Linked DNA regions of Macaca fascicularis. The protein of the gene in region 1 purifies or fractionates together with the protein of each later gene. This does not show direct contact. Links are inferred from orthologs where the notes say so. Each region holds a gene or a part of one and is shown on either strand. Other genes may lie near its edges.

Region 1 (10,310 bases):
GCCCTGCACTGTTCTTTGAGTGTAAAAAAGGATGTAGGCCTGGGTTTTGCACACTTCCTCGACACTGCATACATTCAGCTTTGAGTCATTGCAGTGGACCCAAAAACCTAGGAAACCAAAGGAGAAAAAGAGAGAAAATGACTACCCAATTCATATTTCTAGTCAGCAGGCAAAATCAGGAGATGAAGAAAGGGACAGAGAAGTTCTGAATAGAGCCAACCCTCGATTATTGGTGGGGGAAGGGACAAGTAAATGAAACCGACAGACTTCTGTGTATCCACTGGCTTTAACCCCACCAAACCCCACAGTACCGCTTATCAACTGACTGCAATTTTTTTTTTTTTTTTTTTTTTTGAGATGGAGTTTTGCTCTGTCGCCCAGGCTGGAGTGCAGTGGCGGGATCTCGGCTCACTGCAAGCTCCACCTCCCGGGTTCATGCCATTCTCCTGCCTCAGCCTCCCGAGTAGCTGGGACTACAGGCGCCCGCCACCACACCTGGCTAATTTTTTGTATTTTTAGTAGAGACGGGTTTCACCATGTTAGTCAAGATGGTCTCGATTTCCTGACCTCGTGATCCGCCCACCTCGGCCTCCCAAAGTGCTGGGATTACAGGCATGAGTCACCACGCCTGGCCGACTGACTGCAATTTTTATCTTTGTTTTCTTCAGGCTTTTTTATTGTCCACTAGAGCCTTCTAGAAAGATAGCTGCAATACTGCAGGCTAAGCAATGGGGAGATGAGGAGGAAGATGAGGAGGAAGAGGAGGAGGAGAGGAGAAATGGAAATAGAGGGGAGTGATAAAGGAAAATTTAGAAGGAACAAAAGTATTTATTCACAGGCTCTGGCTGCCCCAAGGGCTGTGCAGTTCAAGAACAGTGAACAGCTGAAAACACATCTGCAGCCCATCAGTCAGTGCAGTAGCTGGAAGACTCCACTCTGGAGGATGAGGACCTAAAGCACCTTTGGAGGGGCCCTTGCATCCCCACACTTCCCATGGCGGGGGAAGTAGTAAGAACATAGTAAGTGCTCAGTAAATGTTCTCAGCTTTATAAGCTGCGGCTAGTGAGATTTATACAGTATCTCCTTGAGGTTACACAGGTTCTACTGTTTCTGCATAACCAAGAAGGAAACTGGGGTGTGCAGAAGTAGCATTACCACAACAATAGTAATATTATCAATAACCAATATTTTTGATAATACTACAATATCCTCAAACAGTGACTGAATAAGCACTATGTGCTAGGCAACTGCTCTTTTTATTTATTTATTTGAGTCAGGATCTCACTCTCTTGCCCAGGCTAGAATGCAGTGGTGAAATCACAGCTCATTGCAACTTCAAACTCCTGGGCTCGAGCAATTCTCCCACCTCAGCCTCCCAAGTAGCTAGGACCACAGGTGCACACCATTACGCCTGGGTAAGTTTTTACTATGTTGCCCAGGCTAGTCTTGAACCCTTGGCCTCAAGCAATCCTCCCGCCTCTGCCTCCCAAAGTGTTGGAATTACAGGCGTGAGCCATTGCACAGGGCCTAGGTCCTGTTCTAAGCACTTTTACATGTCAGTTCCTTTTAATTCTTAGAACAACCATACGTTGTTACTTAGTAATATACCCAAAATTTGAATCCAACTTTCATAATTCTTTTTTTCTTTTTGAGATAAGAGTCTTGCTCTGTCACCCAGGCTGAAGTGCAGTGGCATAATCTTGGCTCACTGCAACCTCTGCCTCCCAGGTTCAAGCGATTCTCCTGCCTCAGCCTCCTGAGTACCTGGGATTACCAGTGCCCGCCACCACTCCCGGCTAATTTTTGTACTGTTTTAATAGAGACAGGGTTTAACCATGTTGGCCAGGCTGGTCTCAAACTCCTGACCCCAGGTGATCCACCCACCTCAGCCTCCCAAAGTGCTGGGATTACATGTGTGAGCCACGGCGCCTGACCCAACTTTCACAATTCTTGCCATTGGATTTTCATGTATGTAATTTCCCTCTAGGTAATCCATGGGATGGAAATAAAAGGAAAACAATAAAATGTGGACAAATAACCCCTTTCCGTGTCCCCCACCCCACAGAGTAAAGCGCACGCACCTCCCTCTGTGTTGTAGCAATAGGCTGTGTAGTGTCCTGAGCCAAACCCTTTCCCGTGATGCATGACCACTGCGGAGAGATCATAGGCAAAGGTCTCTTTGTCAAGAGAGGAGAGCATGTCCCTGCAGCAGTAAGGTTCCATGGTTAATACCTGGTCAAAGACGACATGGACCCCAATCTTCTCTCGATGGTTACGGCCAGACCACCTAGAACATGGATATAAGCTTGTTACTAGTAAAAACCAGCATATACAATTGTAGGTAGAGGTAGGTATTAATAAAACAGGGAACTGAGAAAATTAAACCTTCTGGTTTTGGTCTTCCCATCAATAAAATGGTGGTAATCAATGTTCACATTTATTTATTTATTTATGTATTTATTTATTTATTTATTTACAGACAGGGTCTCACTCTGTTGCCCAGGCTGCAGTGCAGTGGTGTGATCAATAAAGGCTCACTGCAGCCTCAACCTTCCCAGGCTCAGGTGATCCTCCCACCTCAGCCTCCCAAGTAGGTGGGACTATAGGTGCACACCACCACGCCTGGCTAATTTTTGTATTTTTTGTAGAGACAAGGTTTTACCATGTTGCCCAGGCTGGTCTCGAACTCCTGAGCTCAAGCAGTCTGCCTACCTTGGCATCCCAAAGTGCTAGGGTTACAGTCATGAGCCACTGCGCCTGGCCCATTTATTTGCTGTGAATGTTCCATGAAGTACTCTAAACCTAGAGATCCCTAAACAAGCAATTCAAGCAACAGTCTTTTTGTAGTTTCCTGCCTGCCCTTCTTTTCCAGATTATTTTATATTTCATCCTGAAGATGAACCTCTACATAAGTCCAAGCCAGGCTAGAAAATCTTTAAGCACAGATACCCAGTGCAGGCTGGATAATTAATTACACAGGCGCATGACAGCAAAAGCCCAGTCCTGCTGGGCTCCCACATTAATTTGCCTTAGTGGATGTGAATGATTTAATCTCCATGGAAAACACAAGGTCTCAAGTGAACAGGCTTCCCCTCCCAACACCATAGAAGACATTTGCCCTCACCAAAGCCTTTGGAGCAGCTATTCCCACAGCTCTCACCCAGCTAGGACTCCCACAGCAAGCTCACCTGAATCTTTTAAGGTGCAGCCGGAGAACCTGAGGTAGTCTGTAGATCATTAACTGCTTTCTAGCTTCACTCAGAACAAGGGGTTTGGGATTGGATTTTCGTCGTTTGCCTATGTGGTTTGGGAAGGTATAAGACATAGGTTGTGAAGAGTTTTTTCTAGCTATGGCAGAGACAGTGACTTGCCATTCAATATGCATTCTCCATATTTCTAAGTACCTGAACCTCAATTTTTTGGGGAGTGCAATGTGACCCCCTTTATGACTGCATTTCCCGGCTTCACAAGCCTGCATGGTGTGGCCATGGAAGTTCTGGCTAAGATGAAAGGAATGACTGTATGGGACTCTGCTTATACAAGGCTGACTCACTTGTAAGGTGCATCCCTTTGGCCTTCCCACTATCTGAAACTACTGGAATTCCTCCTGGACCAAAAGGTAACTTTGAAGACAGAAGTCTTGCAACAGGATAGTAAAACAGAAAGACAGAAATAGCTTGGGTCAATGATGACCATGCAGCCACCATGCTGGCCCTGAATGTCCTTCACACTTGTTTTATGTAACAGAAAAATAATACCTCTCATTTTAAGTCACTGTTATTTGGGTCGACTGTTACAAGCAACTCAAATCTTTCCAATTTTTGCCATCAGGAACTTTGCGTATAATGGAATATAATGGAACGTGCAACAGCAAGCACACAGAGTAGAAGCATATGTTAAGGCTCCATGTCTTTACAATGGCTTATAACTTCAATTATGATACCCCACAATATGATTTTAAGAAGCTTTTTGTTTGCACTAGGTAAGCCTAATTCTACTTCCTGCTCACAACTAGTTGTGTGCTAATGGATAAGTTACTCAAAACTCTGAACCTCCGTTTCCTCACCAGTAAAATAGGGAATAATGCATATATTTCAGGCTTAGGAAAAAAAGGATAAGATTACTAAATGATAGAGTATTTAAACACATTTTTCTTTAGCATGATTTGCTTATGGCATATTCAAACATTTAGAAAATAAACTGTTGGTTCTATATTTTTATGCTGTGCCTAGTTTTTGAAACATATTTCCTAGATAAAAGCACATTGCTGGACATACAAGGACAAAGCTGACAGGTGGCTAAATTCATCTACTCCAAAGCAGAACTAGTGATCAGTCTCTAATTTTGTTTCTAAATGTGGGGGAAATGCATTTCTTGAACTGCTGGCCTCAAGCAGTCCTCCCACCTTGGCCTCCCAAAGTGTTGGGATTGTGGGTGTGAGCCCACTGTGCCCAGCCTTTAGGAAATGCATTTCTAAATTTCAGCAAATAAACAATGGAAACAGAGTTATCTTAGTTTCTATCAGAAGCCTTTCCTGTAACCATTTACTGATGGCTGTTTTGTTATATTAAACTGGTAAATGGATGAGAGTAGAAAATTAGTGTTCTATGGCAGTCTCTGCTAATTGTCTTGAGCTGTTGATATCATGGGCTCAGTGTCTGAAGAGCTGGGCATCTGATTCCCAGTCCTGTCTGTACTACTCATGAAAGGTAGCAAATCACAGCCAGATGATGTATCACAGAGCTTTCTGTGACAATAGGATGTGGAGGTGTAGCTTCTCATAATAGACTGCATCAGAATGAGTTGTGCCATAGGAGAAGCTTTTACCAGGGTGTGTAGTCACAATATGTGCTGGCATGAACAGAAATGGAATTCAAAGAGGGGCTTGGCCTTATTTTATATTCCTATTCACCATTTTTTTGAAAATTACTGCAGCTCTGGCTAGGAACCCTGGCAGTGACTACCACCCTCAGCAGAGGGAGTATGTGAGCTAAGATGAAGACAATATAGAGTCAGGCTTTGTTTCCCTAAAATGAAATTCACAAAGAAAAATAAATTACTGATTCAATTGAGATTGATCAGTTCTGTCTCCATTTCATTAAGCTGTCCAGGAAGACAGGTAGAAGACTGACAGTTTTGAAACTTCACAGGCAACAGATCAATGCATCTCATCTCCTCACCATAGGTTTCCTTCTCTGGCATTATTTGCACTTGCCTAGAGAAATCCTGATAAATTGGCACATCTGACAACCAAAGAACAATCCTTTCTTGTAAAGATAAACCAAAGTTATTTCTTGCCTAATCTATCATATCCAAAAATGATGGAGTTAAAGCTGTTAATATTCTTTTGTTCATTACAAGTAAAAGGCTTCAGGAATCATTGGGTTTTTTTGGTTTTTGTTTTTTTTTAATATTACTCTAATGAAACAATTTGATTCACCTGACTCTGTATCTCAAAATGGAACAGGATAGGTGAGTCTACAGTTAGCCAGGTATAAAATTTCAAATTTTCTTTTGAAATGGCAAAATGATATCGAGCATAACTTTGTGGGTTGTTTTTTTTTTTTTCTTTTTTTCCTAAAAGAGGTCTTGCTGTGCTACTCAGGCTGGTCTCAAACTCCTGGCTTCAGGCAATCCTCCTGCCTTGGCCTCCCAAAGTGTTGGGATTACAGGTATGAGCCACTGCACCTGGCCTCAAGCCTGACTTTTGATTTTTGTTCTGATTCTTCAAAGAGTGGAACAGGTTTCCCACAATTTAGCTTTTTTTTTTTTTTTTTTTGAGACAGCATCTGGCTCTGTCGCCCAGGCTGGAGTGCAATGGCGCCCACCTTAGGGCCTCCCAAAGTGCTGGGATTACAGGCATAAGCCACTGCACCTGGCCTAACATTTTTTTTTTCTTCAAAACTGGTAATCTAAACTATTATGTGACTGAAAATGGATTTCTAGGTCTCTGTACAATCCATTAACTTTATACTTTTAGTTTCCAAATCTATATATGCCACAACCCTCAAACATAAGCATCCACATATTTGCTCTGCATTTCGTCTGTCCATACTGGGTTAGCAGAAGCATTAAGTGTTAGTGTGGCAAGACGGAAGGGCCCTGTATAACACGCCTCTGTAACCATATGTAAAGAGTTCCATTTTAAAATTACAGACAACACAGAAATACTTCCTTATGACCCTCTCTGAAATGTGAACTTTTCAGGCATGTGAAGAATAAAAAAAATGCAGAAAATATTTCATGAAGCTGCCACTGAGCAATGTACCTTAAGACTTACTTTCTTGGTTCCACTGTACCAATCTTTAGCATCACTTTTGACAGACATTAAGTCTGCCAGTTCATTACAAAAGCATGCTTTTCTGATATCGCATCCCTCAGAAAGGCTATTCCATCTGGGTTTAGATTAAGTAAGAACTGTTGGACTCTACATTCATTAATTTACGCAGCAGCCCCATAGCACTAATAAGCTAAGTACTAACATTCCAGAGTCCCCATTTCAGGAGCCACACTTTAAAATCCCTTCCAAGATGACAACTAATGTCAATCAGGAGGTCAATCAACTCCTAGGTCTTTGTTTCATTTTTTGTTATTGTTGTTGTTGTTTTTTGAAACAGAGTCTCACTCTGTTGCCCAGGCTAGAGTGCAATGGCGTGATCTCGGCTCACTGCAGCCTCCACTTCCCGGGTTCAACCAATTCTCCTGCCTCAGCTTCCCGAGTAGCTGGGATTACAGGCACCTGCCACCACGCCCAGCTAATTTTTGTATTTTTAGTAGAGACGGGGTTTCACCATGTTGGTCAGGCTGGTCTCAAACTCCTGACCTCAAGTGATCCGCCTGCCTCAGCCTCCCAAAGTTCTGGGATTACAGACACGAGCCACCACGCCCAGCCTTGTTTTGTTTTTTAATACATAATTAAAACAAGTCCATGTATTTTGATTTTTAGAAAAATGGGAGGAAGAGATCTTTAAAAGATGCTTTAGAACCATTCAATATCATTAGTGTTACTTTTGACTAAAGAGGACAAAGCAGCACGTTAAACTGATATTCCAGTTATACTTCCCCACTACGCCCCCTCCTCCACACAGCACTCACTGTTACACTGGTCACAAGCGTAGATTCTTCCTTCCAGGGCCTCTGTCTCTGTGAACTTGGCCAGCATCTCAGTGAGCAAGCACTCTGTCTGATTCAAAGGGACAAACCCCTTTTCTATGCAGTGATAGCGTTCAGGGAATTCCAGGGATAGGTCCCAAAAGGGCTCAATGGTATTAGATTTGTAATTGCATGATATACATGTGACCTAGAATGAAAAGATTGATTTACAGATTATGTAACTTCCATGCTTCCTGCGTACAGTTTTACTTGCTTCATAAAAGACACACTTTATCAAAACTAAGTGTATAATTTTCAAAAAATAGTAATATTAAAATAATAAACATAATTTTAAAAGAATTAGAGTATATTACTTCTGATGTACATTTCTAACTATGGGATGCTAGCTGGAATTTAAAAACCATACTGCATAGAGACTATACCAACCCGCCTTTCTCCTCTCCCAAAATATGCTCTAACATTCAACAGTACAGTAGCACAGACTGCAAGTTATTATGCAGTCTCTCAAGGGATCAGTCTGATATAGAGAATCTGCAGGTCCCTGCCTACTTCCCTCACTCTGTAATTCCTCCTCTTGACTTTAGACCTTCCATAGAGCCCAGCACACCTCTCTTTTTGCCTTTGTTACTTGCAGAAGCCCTACACTGAACCCCTCTGTCTGCACAGCCTCAAAATGCTGTGATTAGACCTCCATTCCCATTATAACCTTCCCAGGTGCACCTTCCTAAGGGGAGGGGAGACAGAAGAAGTGCTAATAAATACTCCCCTTTTACATGCTCAAAAACAAAAACCTAATTAAATTTTCCCTTTCCATACCATTCATCATTCTTTCAAAACCCTAAAAACCAAGACACAAGCACAGTGTAGAGGTTTTACCTGAATCTCTTAAGTTGCCCACCAATCCGCCCCCCAACACGTTTTTTGTTTTTTGGTTTTTTTTTTTTGAGACAAAGTCTCCATCTATCACCCAGGCTGGAGTGCAATGGCGCGATCTCGGCTCACTGCAACCTCCGCCTCCTGGGTTCAAGCAATTCTCCTGCCTCAGCCTCCCAAGTGGCCGGGATTACAGGCATGCACCACCACGCCCGGCTAATTTTGTATTTTTAGTAGAGACGGGGTTTCACCATGTTGGCCAGGCTGGTCTCTAACTCCTGACCTCAGGTGATCCACCCCCCTTGGCCTCCTGAAGTGCTGGGATTACAGGCGTGAGCCACCGCGCCCGTCTTTTTTTTTTCAAACTATAAGAATACTCTTTCTGCATATTCTCATAAGGCCTTATCTCAGAATCTTTGCTTAGGTTACATGGCTAAAGATCCAGGAAATGTAATGGGGAACAGGAAGGAGGCTTGCATTGGTCTTTAGCATGCTCCTAGCTATCTTCCTTCCTTGTATGTAAAGAAGGGAGACAGCTCTTTCAAACTATTATGGAACCAGAGTTACAGGCAAAATCTGTTCCCTAAAATTGATCAAAGGATGGCACTCCAACAATGAGTACTTAATTATAACAATGAGAATATTATATTACCCATATCTTCAATAACAGTTAAAGATATTCACTGAAAATTAAGCAATGTGGCAAGTTAAACTAAAAATCTGGCCGGAAAGACACTAGGCAAGTTTCCCCAAAAAGCCATCATAATGTACAGTAGAATAAAAGGTACAATGGCCACCCTCAAAAATGCATAATCACAGCAAATGTTGGCTACTCTTATTAGCCCAATAACCAGGGGAAGGCACTCACAGGAAGCCCAAACTAACATACAAGCCTCTCATTGTCATGGTAGGCACACACATACCTGACTGAGCAGCTGCCCATGAAATATGGTATTCACCACCTTTAACACCTGTTTGGTGAGCTTCCTCTGGGAGAAAGGGATGAGGATCCGGCGTGTGGTGCCCTCAGACTCGAGTTCCTGCTGCACCTTGTGCAGCAGCTCACAGAGAAATTCCTGCGCGTCCTGTTGGTCGTAGCCGCGGAAGGCAGGGATTAGGCTCCACACTGAGTGGAGCATGGCGAAGGGCGACACTAGGGCCCACTTCCCGGACCACATGACTCGGAAGAGGGTGTGCAGTTCACGGCAGAGGGAAATGTGCTTCGAGCTTGGCTCCTTGTTCTGGATGAGCTCCAGGCTCCGACTAATGGAGGCCCCGCCGTTCCAGCAGAAGCCCTCCCGCTCGCATGCCTCGGCCCTGTCACTCCTCAAGGACAGCTCTGTGGCTGAGCTGTTGGTTGGCTTGCCAGAAAGCTGAGTCTTCCCGTTGGTGGCTTTGGGAAACAGATGTTCCGTTTTGGAAGGGTCAAGGTTGAGGAAACATTCTCGGAACTTCTGGAGGTGGCTGAGCACCTGGAGGATGGAGTTCATGTAGCAGGTGTTGCCCAGGTTGCGCAGGCCCGTGACGCCCGGGGCCACGGCAGGCTGGCGACGCAGCTTGAGCGTGGCGGCGGGCGCTCTGCGTGAGGTAGGGAGGGTGGTGGGGCGCGAGGCGGCCGGGCCCGCGTCGCTAGGCGTGTGCAGGAGCAGCCGTGCACTCTTACGCGGAGGGGCGCTGGCCAGCTCCTCCAGCAGCCGCCGTTTCACCTCGCGCCGCCGCCTCCGCGCTTCCTCCTTCTTGCGCTCCAGCGCCTCCTCCTGCCGCCGCTGCTCCAGCTTCGCCTGGCCCCGGGAGCTCTTCTCGAACCACAGCCGCAGCGTCCTGGCCAGCAGGCGCTGGCGCCGGTACCACAGAGCGGTGAGCATCTGCGGCTGTCCCTGAGGAGCGCGCTGCGGCGGGACCACGTCCTCACCCGAAGCCGTGGACCGCAGCGTCCGCCCGCGTCTCACCAGCGTGTCCTGCTTCTGGCCCCGGACCGCCAGGAGGGAGCTTCTTAGCAGCTTCAGGTCGCCCTCTGGGTTATCATTGAGCACGTAGTCCTTGCACAGGTAACAGAACACGTAGAGATCCCGGACTTCCATGGCTAGCGGGTGTCCAGTCTCTTCAAAGTGTTTCAGGGCGTGGTCCTCAATGTAGCGGCCGCAAGCCACGTGGGAGCACTTGAGGCAGGCCCACACCGACTCGGTGGTGGCGCACTCTAAGCAGCACCACTTCTGAGGGTTCAGGATGGAGTGGTCCTGGGCGAGCCGTAACCGCCCTACATGTTTGCATCTATCCATGTCTTATAGAAGTCGCCACTCTCTCAGCCTGTCACGACAGTCCCC
Region 2 (10,410 bases), on another chromosome or scaffold:
AGCCTTTATGAAAAAAAGTCAATAAAAAGTATACACAGAGTCTATTTTATGTCCCAGTGATGCATATATGATTATTTTGAGCCCCTGAAACAGAGACAATTTTTTAAAGTAATAATAATAACAAATGCTTAGTAGCACTTACAACATGCTAGGCCCTTTTCTAGGTACTTTACATGTTATTAACTTAATCCTCAGAAGAATCTCATGAGAGAGTACAATGATCCCCACCTTATAGTTGAAAATGAGGCACAGGGTATTAAAAAGACCAAGTTCCAGAGCTATAAAGTGGCAAAACCAAGGTATGAACCAACAGAATCTGGTTCCAAGTGCTAAACCACTATACTGTACTAAACATACCTGGATTATAGCTCCTTCCTAATAGTATCATTTCCACTGTATCCTAACATCTTGTTTCTACAAATAAACAATCTAAGGTAAAACTAGGAATACTACGATTATAAACTTCAGGAGAGTGTCCATTCTGGGAGAACAAAAGGTGGCTCTCTCCTTCTCCTCAAATAAAAAATTCTACAAATTAGAGGAAAAAAAGGAAAATGTCCCCAACAGACAAGTTGCCTCTCTAAACAGTCATATATTAGTTCGTAAGTTGAGTATCTTCTGTGCTGTATTTTTTCTTTTAGGTTTATCATTTATTTTCCATCTCAACTGCTTTTGACTTGAGCGTTTGGATTCAAAAAACTAATGACATGAATCTAAATTTTCTCTGCGTATACTAATTGCCATTTCTTTTTGCTTCCCATATTGCTTCTTGATGAATATTTAAAAGAAGGGGTTTGTGTATATAACAGAATTTGTTTCCAAATATCTTAAAATACTTATATGATGTGCTTATATCGTGACCCATTGGTTTAGGGGGAAAAAAATAGAAATAAACCTGAATATTTATATATTTTGTAGGTAATATCCTAGACAATAGTAACGCCCTTGCCTTCCAGACTCTTCTATTTTGAAAAAGCCTGCTCTATGTATGCTATAAATAATTCACTAAAATCAACTACACAAAAATTTAGCCATATTAAGCCTATGACACATTATCTTCAGTTGGTGGTACCAGGATGTTTTCTCCTGCTTGCAGTATGCCCACTGCCTCCTTTACTACTACCCTCTAAACAGATGACTTTATCCACTAAGATCAAGGTCATCCAGAGGATGTAGCCTCTCATAAACTTTGTCAACCTGAAGTCACGCATTTCATCTAGGGCCAAAGATACCAACTACTACCAGTTCCCTCTTCTCCCACTTAGCCAGCAAAAATCACATACCAGAAAGGTCTTGGGAAACATTTTCCAAACAGCAGGATATCAAATTTTCTGTTTTACTGAGCAAAAATAATTTTTTGATCACCCTTCAAGTTTTATCACATAATATAAATACAAATAACTTGGAAAAGCATCTTTCCATAAAAAGCTACACAGTAGTTCCTTGGCTAGAATCTTCACAACAAAACAAAAGACAAAACTATAAATCTCAGAGCAAAGCCATATTTTTTCTTTGAAAATGAAAAAAGTAAAATAACCCAAACAAAACTGAGTAAGAGTCACATTATACACCAGTGTTCTATAAGAAAATTCCATAACCTAGAGAATTTAAAATTTAAAAAGTCATATTAATCAGACAATTTCCTAACAGCTGCTGATTACAAAGACTATTAAAATACACACCAACTTCATTAAAATCTTCAAAGGTGATTTTCCCTGTGGCTTCTCTGTCATAATCTTTAAGAATCTTCAGTACATCAGCTTTTTTTACATCAAACCCCAAGGCTCTCATTGCCACCTTTTGGATTAAAAGGGAAAAGCAAATTATAAAGCAATCTTTACAAAAGAATTTCTAATTATTAAGTTTTTACATCTTAAGAGATAAAAACACATTAGTAAAATATAACTTTTTTGCATGTTTTACCTCTTTAAAATAGTAGTGACAGTGTAATTGTTCTTCACTACTGAAATTATGTATAAGTTTTTTCATTTATAAATTGCATTTTTATATGACAAAGTAACCAACAAGTGTTTACTATATAAAATGCACTAACTTACTGCACAGATAATTTGACTGCTATTTGTTATCACGGGAATAACAACCAAAATGAGAAAAAGGCATAGCATAAATATTAAAGTTATATGATAGAAGAGATAAAACATTAAAATAAGAATTATCATCAGCATCTCCATGATTAGTTATTAGGTTAATAATAGGGCGAAGGACCCTGAGTTTAGACAAAAAAGAGACTTTGTTACTAGTAACAAGGAAGGAAACATGTTACTGACTAGGTAAGTCTTATTTGGAAAGATTCAAGTTGTTCCTTGAAGGACAGATGAAGAGGAGCAGTAGGGCATTTGGGAAGGATGACTAGTATTAAAAGAAACACTGAAATGAACAATAGGTTTGAAGGACAACGAACAGAGCAGTTTACCTCACCTGAATTAGAAGAGTTCAGGTGAGATAAACTGCTCACCTGGATTAGAAGGTGAATTCCACGTGAATTAGAAGAGTTTGGGAGGAAGAAAGCAGTTAGCAAATGAAAAAAGTAGTTGGTGGCAAAAGTGTAGAGAACATTCAGTAGAAAGCAAAGGAATCTGAACTTTAAGTAGTATATAATGAGGAGTTATTAATAGTAAAGGCTTATGAGCAACGAACAATTTATAAGCAATGGTGAAAGATTTTTTAAACTATCTAAATTCAGTGGTAGTAGTATACAAGGTGAACTACAAGTAGACAAACCATTTAGGAAGCTCCAGGTATGAAATAAGGTCTGAAACCAGTCAATGGTTACTAATGGAAGAGACACTATAAAGGAAGAATTGATCAAATCTGGGTAACCAAAACCAAAAAACAAAAACAAAAAACAGTGGGAAAAGAGAGCTAAAGAGGACTGCAAGATTGAGAAAGCTAGACTTACAGGCCTATTAATTGTTTTTATACATTCTATACTGTCACTGCATAGTTCGTATCCCTACTTGGAATTCTAATGCTTAAAAATCCCTTAAGAAATTACAAAAATTAAAACTATCAAATAAACACTTACATTCACCTATCCATTAAGGCTATTAAAAATCTCAAAATACTATCTTTCCCACTGTGCTGAAAGTAAGTCCCACTCAACCCTAAACCCAAATCTCTCCTTATACCCTGACAAATAATAATTTACAAATCCCTCTCTACACCTTGACATTCTAGGTCTTAAAGTTGACATTTTTACCTACTAGCATGTGTCAACATCAAACAGCACTGAAGTTGTCTGTACCACAGAAAGTGGATTGAGACTATGTTACTAACAAATACAAATTATAAGATTAAAAGACAACAATCCCACAATCTGAAAACAGTATGAGTCACCAAGAAACAAAAACAAAAACAAAAAAAACAGTGAAAAGAATATGGTAATAGTTTAAATTCCAGTTTGAAATCCTTTAATTATGTCAGTGAAAAATAAGCACCTTCCCTAGGAATGTATTGTTACATTTAAAATGCTATTCGTTTTATCACGTGAAAAAGATTTTCTAAAAACTGTGTTAGGAGTTCTATTCAGTATTATTATAGAATCTAACTATGAATGCTTAAAATGCCTTCATAGTTCCAAAACCAATTTAGTTAAAATAATTACTTAGAAATGTAATGTAAAGCAACTGTCAAAATGCAAATCATTTTAACACAGAAACAAGTATTTTAAAGTATACCATTACCTTTAATTCATGATAATCTATTGCTTCATCTTTGTCTGTATCAAATAGTTCAAAAGCATCTTTAATTTCTTGTTTCTGTTCCTCAGACAGTTCTCTTCTTTTTTTCCTCTTTGTTTTGTCTACTACAAGCTCACTTCTATGAAATGGAAAGAAAAAGCCCTTAGTCCACTTTAATTCTCTTTACTAACAGAAATTAGCCAATAATTATTTTCTAAATTTCAAAAAAGAAAGTACTTTGGAGAAAGACAGGGAAACTTTCCCTTTATGAGTCAATGCCCTGTTTATTCCATAGTCTAAATTGCTATAAATATGAACTTCCCAAAACTAAAGAGTGTTACAGATTATTAAAAGAAATGAGGACCAAACTTTTCCTTTTCCCAGCTTTTTATTTATTCCCACTTTCCCTAACTTTTTATTTATTCAAGAACTGTGAATAAGCAACATTACGTTTATGTCTGAAACTCCAACCAACTCCAACCAAAAAAAAAACAAAAACACTCACATTATTCTACAAGAATGTTAAAGAAACCAAAAAATCTCCAAATGAAACCAAAATTCGTAACTGACAATCACCATATATCGGTTTACTTTTGATAGTTCTGATAATTAAGTTCATAAAATTACTACAAAAAATACAACTGGATTAACTTATATTTTGGGACTGTTGGTTCAAAATGTTTTTAGATTACACGTTTCTAACAGTTTGGCAATTTATGTGTCATTTCCTCCACTGATATTAACAAATCACCCAAAATATTAATGAGTCTAAACATATGACAAATATTAGATGTCAAAAAAGTATACAATATTTGTGCTTCATAAGTCTTATCTCACTTAAGATGTAAACTGGAGGTTAAACTTCTCATAAACTCTGGAAACGCTTAAAGAAAAAAGCAAAAATTACTTTAAAGCCAGAAATGTTTTCCGTAAGAGCTGCCCATCTAAATGTGCTCCAAGTTTTCCAATGGAGCCGCAACACTGGTATAAGAACAAGTTTTGAAACACACAATCTGGTAACACATTAACATGTCAAAACCAGTTGACTGTATTTAAAACACGTATCTAGCTGCATTTGAAAGTCGTTTTGGTCTCTGAACGCTACAAAAAAAAAAAAAAAAAGGCTAGGAAGTGACCAGTAGATGCAGTATGACAAAGCTGAGGAAGATCTTCCTTTCATGAGACCTGACTTGACACAAACTTGGGTATTCCTGGGGTCAGTCTTTTCCTTCCTGAGACTTTTAGAGGCCAAGTCCAGAACCGACCCACCCCTGACCCCATCCAAGGGTACCATGATTATCCCTTAGCAGAACATGGAACATTTTTAGAGTGTCCTAAGTATATGTATAGTTTTACGGTACAACGTCTACGTAGGGGGAGCGGGTAACAGACAGAGGGTTAGAGGTTAGAACTGAAAGGTAAAGAAATGAAAGAAACAGGAAATCCAAGAGACAGTTTGCCAATTAGTCACTAAAATGGGTTTCTAATTACACCGTAAAGCAGGACCTTGGGAGAATAGCAAAGAGTTTTTTGTTATTTCCAAAATTTATAGGTGGATGATTGCATCAGCAGCAGAGCAGCGGAGGTGGGGCCCTGGCCAGGCATACGAATTGAATGAAGGGATGTTCCGCGGCCTGATCTCTCAGAGCAACAGAGTAGAAGCCTCGCGATATTTCATTCCCTCCCCCTCGCTCGCAACTAAGCCCATTTTTTTGGTAGTCCAAAGCCCTACGCGCTGACAGAAATAACCTCCTTAGTAGAAATGCACTGGAAGTCTCGTTCCCTGCAGGGCACCAGAGCCCAGAGGGTGAGTGATCCAGACAGGCTGCCCTAGGCTCCTTTCCCGCATCCCAAACAGCATCCCCTGCCTCGCCACGGCCCCAAACGGCCTCCCTTCCACACACACCCTCCCTAGGTCCCGCTCCGGGGTGTGGAGAGCACTGCCGCCTCCTTATTACCGACCTCAGAGCTAAACTCATTATCTCTTCGGATAGAGTCGTTCCTCTCAAGAAACGATTTTAACCCCCTACCCAAAGCAGCAAGACTCCCACAACCGTTCAACAGACACGAACGACCTCAGCGGCCTCAGGGACCTCCCACAACATAGACACTTTTGAGCTGGATTGGTTGAAATGTCGCTATGGTTCTGCCCATTATGGCGGAAGCTTTACCAATTTTATTTTCATTGGGTACGCTTTACGTCAATCAAGAAAAAAAAAAAACCTCTCTCTCCCCGCCCCCCCCCCCCCCCGCCACCCACCCCGCCCCTCCATTCCTAGGGCCGCTCTCGCCCTTCGGATTGGCCTGATGCCTTTTTCCCCGAATCCTTTGCGGGTCCGGCCTCCGATCCCTGTGTGGTGGTTTGCGTGGTGGGTGCTCCTAGTCTCTCGCGTATTGTCCTGCGGTCTGTGGGCCGACGTTCGAAAACTAGATGGATAACTTGGACGGTGGGAAGGGAAGGGACACGCTGCAGGCCACCCTCCGGCTAGAAGGAGGCAGTAGTTGAGGAACAAGGTCTGCGAAGCGTGGCTGTGCTCTGTTCTAAAACTTTGGATGGCTTCAGTACCTGGGGAATGTGTTTAAAATGCAGACTTAAATGCCCCTTTCTCCATTCTAATTTCAGTAGGTATGAATCTGCGTTTGTATTCCTCACAAGCCTTCCAAGTGATTCTGAGGCAGGTGCTGTGACTATACTTGGATTATCACAGGGTTAGATTATCAGGCTATTTATGGTGATGCTGTATCTAAACCGCCCTTCCCTCTCCTTTTCCTCCTTTGAACTGTTTGAAACGGATTTGTTGGCTTCTGTCTCTTATTTTACGGTGCTGTAAATTGTTAATACACGTGAGACTGTATTCACTACCAAACCAAGTCTCCTAAAGCTCACTTGAATGTCTACTTATTCGTCTCCCTTACCAGGTTCAATTTCTTGAAGGCCGTGATTATATCTATTTAACGCTTTTCCTTGTACCTAATAAAATGTCTGGTGCATAGGTGCTCGGTAAATTGAGTGGAATCTTTTGAAAACCCACAAAATACTGAGCTAAACAGCAAATCTCATAAACGGGAATAAAATAGCCTGAGAATGGGAGTTGAAGGCGGAGAATATGTAAACATATGTTTAAGGGATGTATATAAAATTTTAGAGAAGGGAGAGAGCACAAGATAGGCTTCCTAAAGAGGTGGCATAAACGTTAGACCTACAAGGATGGGCTAAATTTGCACAAGTAAAGATAGTATGATAGAACAAGCTAAAAATTAGCTAAGGGATAGCACCCCTAAAAAACAAAAGCGGAACTTTTATTTTGTTCGTATTTTAAATTTTAAAGTACCTTTATAAATCACCTTTGAGTCTAAAAGGAAAGAGAAATTGTAATTACTAGAACATAGTGATATTGAAAAAAACTATATGTTAACATTTTAAGACACAGACCAAACTATAGGAGAACATTATTTTAAATAAGAAATAATAAAAATAGACCAGGCATTTATTTGAAGATGTTAGAAATGAAGAACAAAATTGTATAATTGAAATTAGGAAGAGGAAATTAGTAAAGTTTGAGAACAACGTTTTAAAAGGAAACTGGTCAAATTGATAAAGTGCTCATAGTCTGGTATAAAGCTGCTTTTTGGCAATACCAGTGAAATTCAAAGACAGGAAATGTAACAAGAAAAGGAATAGTGCCACTAGTAAGGTTAGTAATTTAACAAAAGGGAGGTTTAAAAATTATTAAAATATTTTATACAATTTTATACTGCCAATAAATATTAATAGAAAATGAAATAGTCACTTTTCAAGGAAAACATAACTCAAAAAAGATGGAAAACTGAATTAAGTCAATAACTACAGACAGGACTGAAAAAAAGATGCCAAATTTCTGTACCCTCAAATAAAAAGCCTCCAGCCCACTCAGATTTATGGGTAAAAATCCTAAGAGCTAAATCTTGTGCTTTAAACTCAAGTAATAGAAAATGATGGAGAGCTTCTTAGCTTAATTTTTGAAGCTGCCATAATATTTAACATCCTAAAAGAACATTTAAAGTCACTCAGTGTAAGCTTAGTGATGATGAAGGCTATACATGTTGCTCACCATTGTATCCCCAGTGCCTGACTCATATTTGATGTTCATTTGTGAATTTAAGTGCAAAATTCCTAGATGTTAGCAAAATCAGTTTGATACTGTCTTAAAGGGGCATTTCTCTATAACCAAATTGAGTTTTTTGTTGTTTTTGTTAAGTGCAAAGATAATTCAAAATATAAATCTGTGTTAAATATAGTGTTAAGGAAATCATCTCAGTGTCAAAAGGGCACTGAATAATAGGCAACACTTTTTCTACTAGGATATAAAGTGGGTTTAGAAAATACTTTTTAAAATATGATCGGCAAAATACTTAAACACCAGTGTTTCTCAAACCTCATTCCTGAAACACTAGAATTTTGTGAGATGCTTTTGGTCTCAGAGTGAGTTTTATAAGCAAATAATTTGGGCAAACAGATTTTAACATGTTTTCAATAGGGTATCCTTTTAAGAGTGACAGGGAATTTACACGGATCACTTTTATTATATTTAGTGAGAACTAGTGACAACCACTTCTTGCTTCACAGGAGTCAGACAAATCTCTAGATGGAAAACTGCTGTGCTGAAATTTGGGGTCGGATCATCTATTTCTAAAGATAAGACAGGTGATTACACGCATTTAAATCTAAATTCGATGCAATCAAAATTCTCATTTTTCTTGAACAAAATTATTCCAAAGATCCAACAACAGTTGCATAAAAATAGCTTACTAAACTGTGAAAAAGAATAATAATACAAAAATTCCTCTATGGGACAGTAAAATGTATTTGGTACAATGGTAATCAGACCAGAAATTCCAGAGACAGCAAATGTAAATAAAAATTTCTGCTTTGAGAAGGTAGAGACATGAGTGTTTAGTCTGCCTCCTAAAGCCGTAATAAAGCAAGAGTTCCTCTATCACCCACGCTGGTGTACAGTGGCATAGCTCACTGTAACCTCGAACTGGGCTTAAAGGATCCTCCCTCCTCAGTCTCCTGAAAAGTTAGGACTACAGAAGCATGCCATCATGCTCAGCTAATTTTTTTTTAATTTTACACTATGTTGCTATGTTGCCCAGGTTGGTCTAGAACTCCTGGTCTCAAGTGATCCTCCAGCCTCAGGCTCCCAGAGTGTTGAGATTACAGGAATTAGTTCCCATGCCTAGCCAATAAATTTGTTAAGCTGAAGTGACCTGGAGAGGGGCCATCAGCAGACTAGGTATTTCAAAAATTATTGGAAAGATCAAAAGAAATGTGGAAACTTGTTGACAAATGAAACAGATCACGGAAGTGGCATCCCATAATTTTTCCGGAGGTGACTGATGTTTCACAGAGAGTTGATCTGCCTGGCAAAGTCCCAGAGAGACTCCAGGAATGGAGTTCTCTTTTACAGTAGAAGGTGAAATGAGAAGGGGGCTAAATACAAAATGCCAATTTAAAACCTCTTTAGGAAACCACTGTACTTCCATTCCTCCAGATTCCTCTCCCCAGTATTTTGTCTCTACCTCTATCTAGAACTCCACTCTTTTTTTTTTTTTTCCTTTTTTAGAGACAGGGGTTCTCTCTGTTGCCCAGGCTGTAGTGCAGTGACATGGGCATAGATCATAGCTCACTGCAACCTCACTCAACCTCCTGGGCTCAAGCAGCCTCCCACCTTGCGTCTTGGCCTCCTGAAGTGCTGGGATTACAAGTGTGAGCCACTGCACCTGGCCCAAGTCTTTAAAATGAATGAAGAATGAAAAACCATCAGAGATGTGAAAATCAACAACATGAAAGGTGAAACTAAAAACTATTTCAGGAAGACTCTGAGTCAGCTAAGGAACCAAAATAAAATAATAAGAAATTAATAATAATAAGCTTCCTAAGAAGTACTCAAGAAAATATTAGAGAACAAAATACTCTGAAAAAGGAACATCAGATAATAAGAAAAGTCTGTTGAAAATAAACATATGAATGTAAAAATTAAAATGGCAAGATGATTTAATTGAAAAAATATCACAGAACCTGCAGTATTCAAACAAAAACATGGAGAATTTTGGAAAAAAATATGGAAGACTAATTCATTATTTGACTAATAATTTCTGAAAGAGAACAACAAGAGGAGGAGGAGAAAAATATCAGACATTGAAAAGATATTTCAAGGAACTGAAATACAGGTCTCTAAATTGATAGAACACATTTAATACTGAGCAAAATAATAGTAAAAGAACACACCTAGACACATAAAGAAGACATTTCAGAGCATCAAAAATAAAAAGGCCTAAAAGCTTCCAGACACAAGAATCTGACCTTTTATAAAAGAATAAGAACTGAGCTAGTATCAGATTTCTCATCAGAAACTTTAGATACCAAAAGATAATACCTTTAAAATTGTAACTGAAAATTATTTTGAACTTAGAACTCTATTTCCTGTCAGAACAAAAAATAAAGTGCGAGTACATAATAAAGAGTTCAGAAAGTTCAATTATCATATACTCTTTCTGAAATATGTACTTCAGAAAAGTAAGAATGAAATCCAAAAATAAGGTAGATGTAAAATACAAGAGTGTGGCATAGAATGACTGACTCATCAAAAATGTCCATGTCCTCCTAATCCTTGAAATTTGTTAATGTTACTTTGCATGGAAAAAAGAACTTTGTAGGTGTAATTAA

What was found.
Region 2: the proteins of USP49 (region 1) and CETN3 purify together in Homo sapiens (affinity purification with mass spectrometry; 4 studies listed by BioGRID and IntAct, with this or other methods). This does not show direct contact. The link is inferred for Macaca fascicularis from reciprocal best matches to the Homo sapiens genes USP49 and CETN3.

What each region holds. Positions count from the first base shown.
Region 1 is NC_088378.1:129,764,178-129,774,487, reverse strand, and holds part of USP49 (ubiquitin carboxyl-terminal hydrolase 49), read right to left. Parts: 5' UTR 10,266-10,310; coding exon 8,910-10,265; intron 7,301-8,909; coding exon 7,096-7,300; intron 3,298-7,095; coding exon 3,189-3,297; intron 2,288-3,188; coding exon 2,082-2,287; coding exon of another isoform or gene 1,984-2,081; exon of another isoform or gene 1,801-1,983; intron 108-1,800; coding exon 1-107. UniProt on the Homo sapiens protein: Deubiquitinase that plays a role in several cellular processes including transcriptional regulation, cell cycle progression or innate immunity.
Region 2 is NC_088380.1:94,402,608-94,413,017, forward strand, and holds the start of CETN3 (centrin-3), read right to left. Parts: upstream 5,807-10,410; 5' UTR 5,681-5,806; coding exon 5,664-5,680; intron 3,841-5,663; coding exon 3,705-3,840; intron 1,798-3,704; coding exon 1,683-1,797; intron 1-1,682. UniProt on the Homo sapiens protein: Plays a fundamental role in microtubule-organizing center structure and function. As a component of the TREX-2 complex, involved in the export of mRNAs to the cytoplasm through the nuclear pores.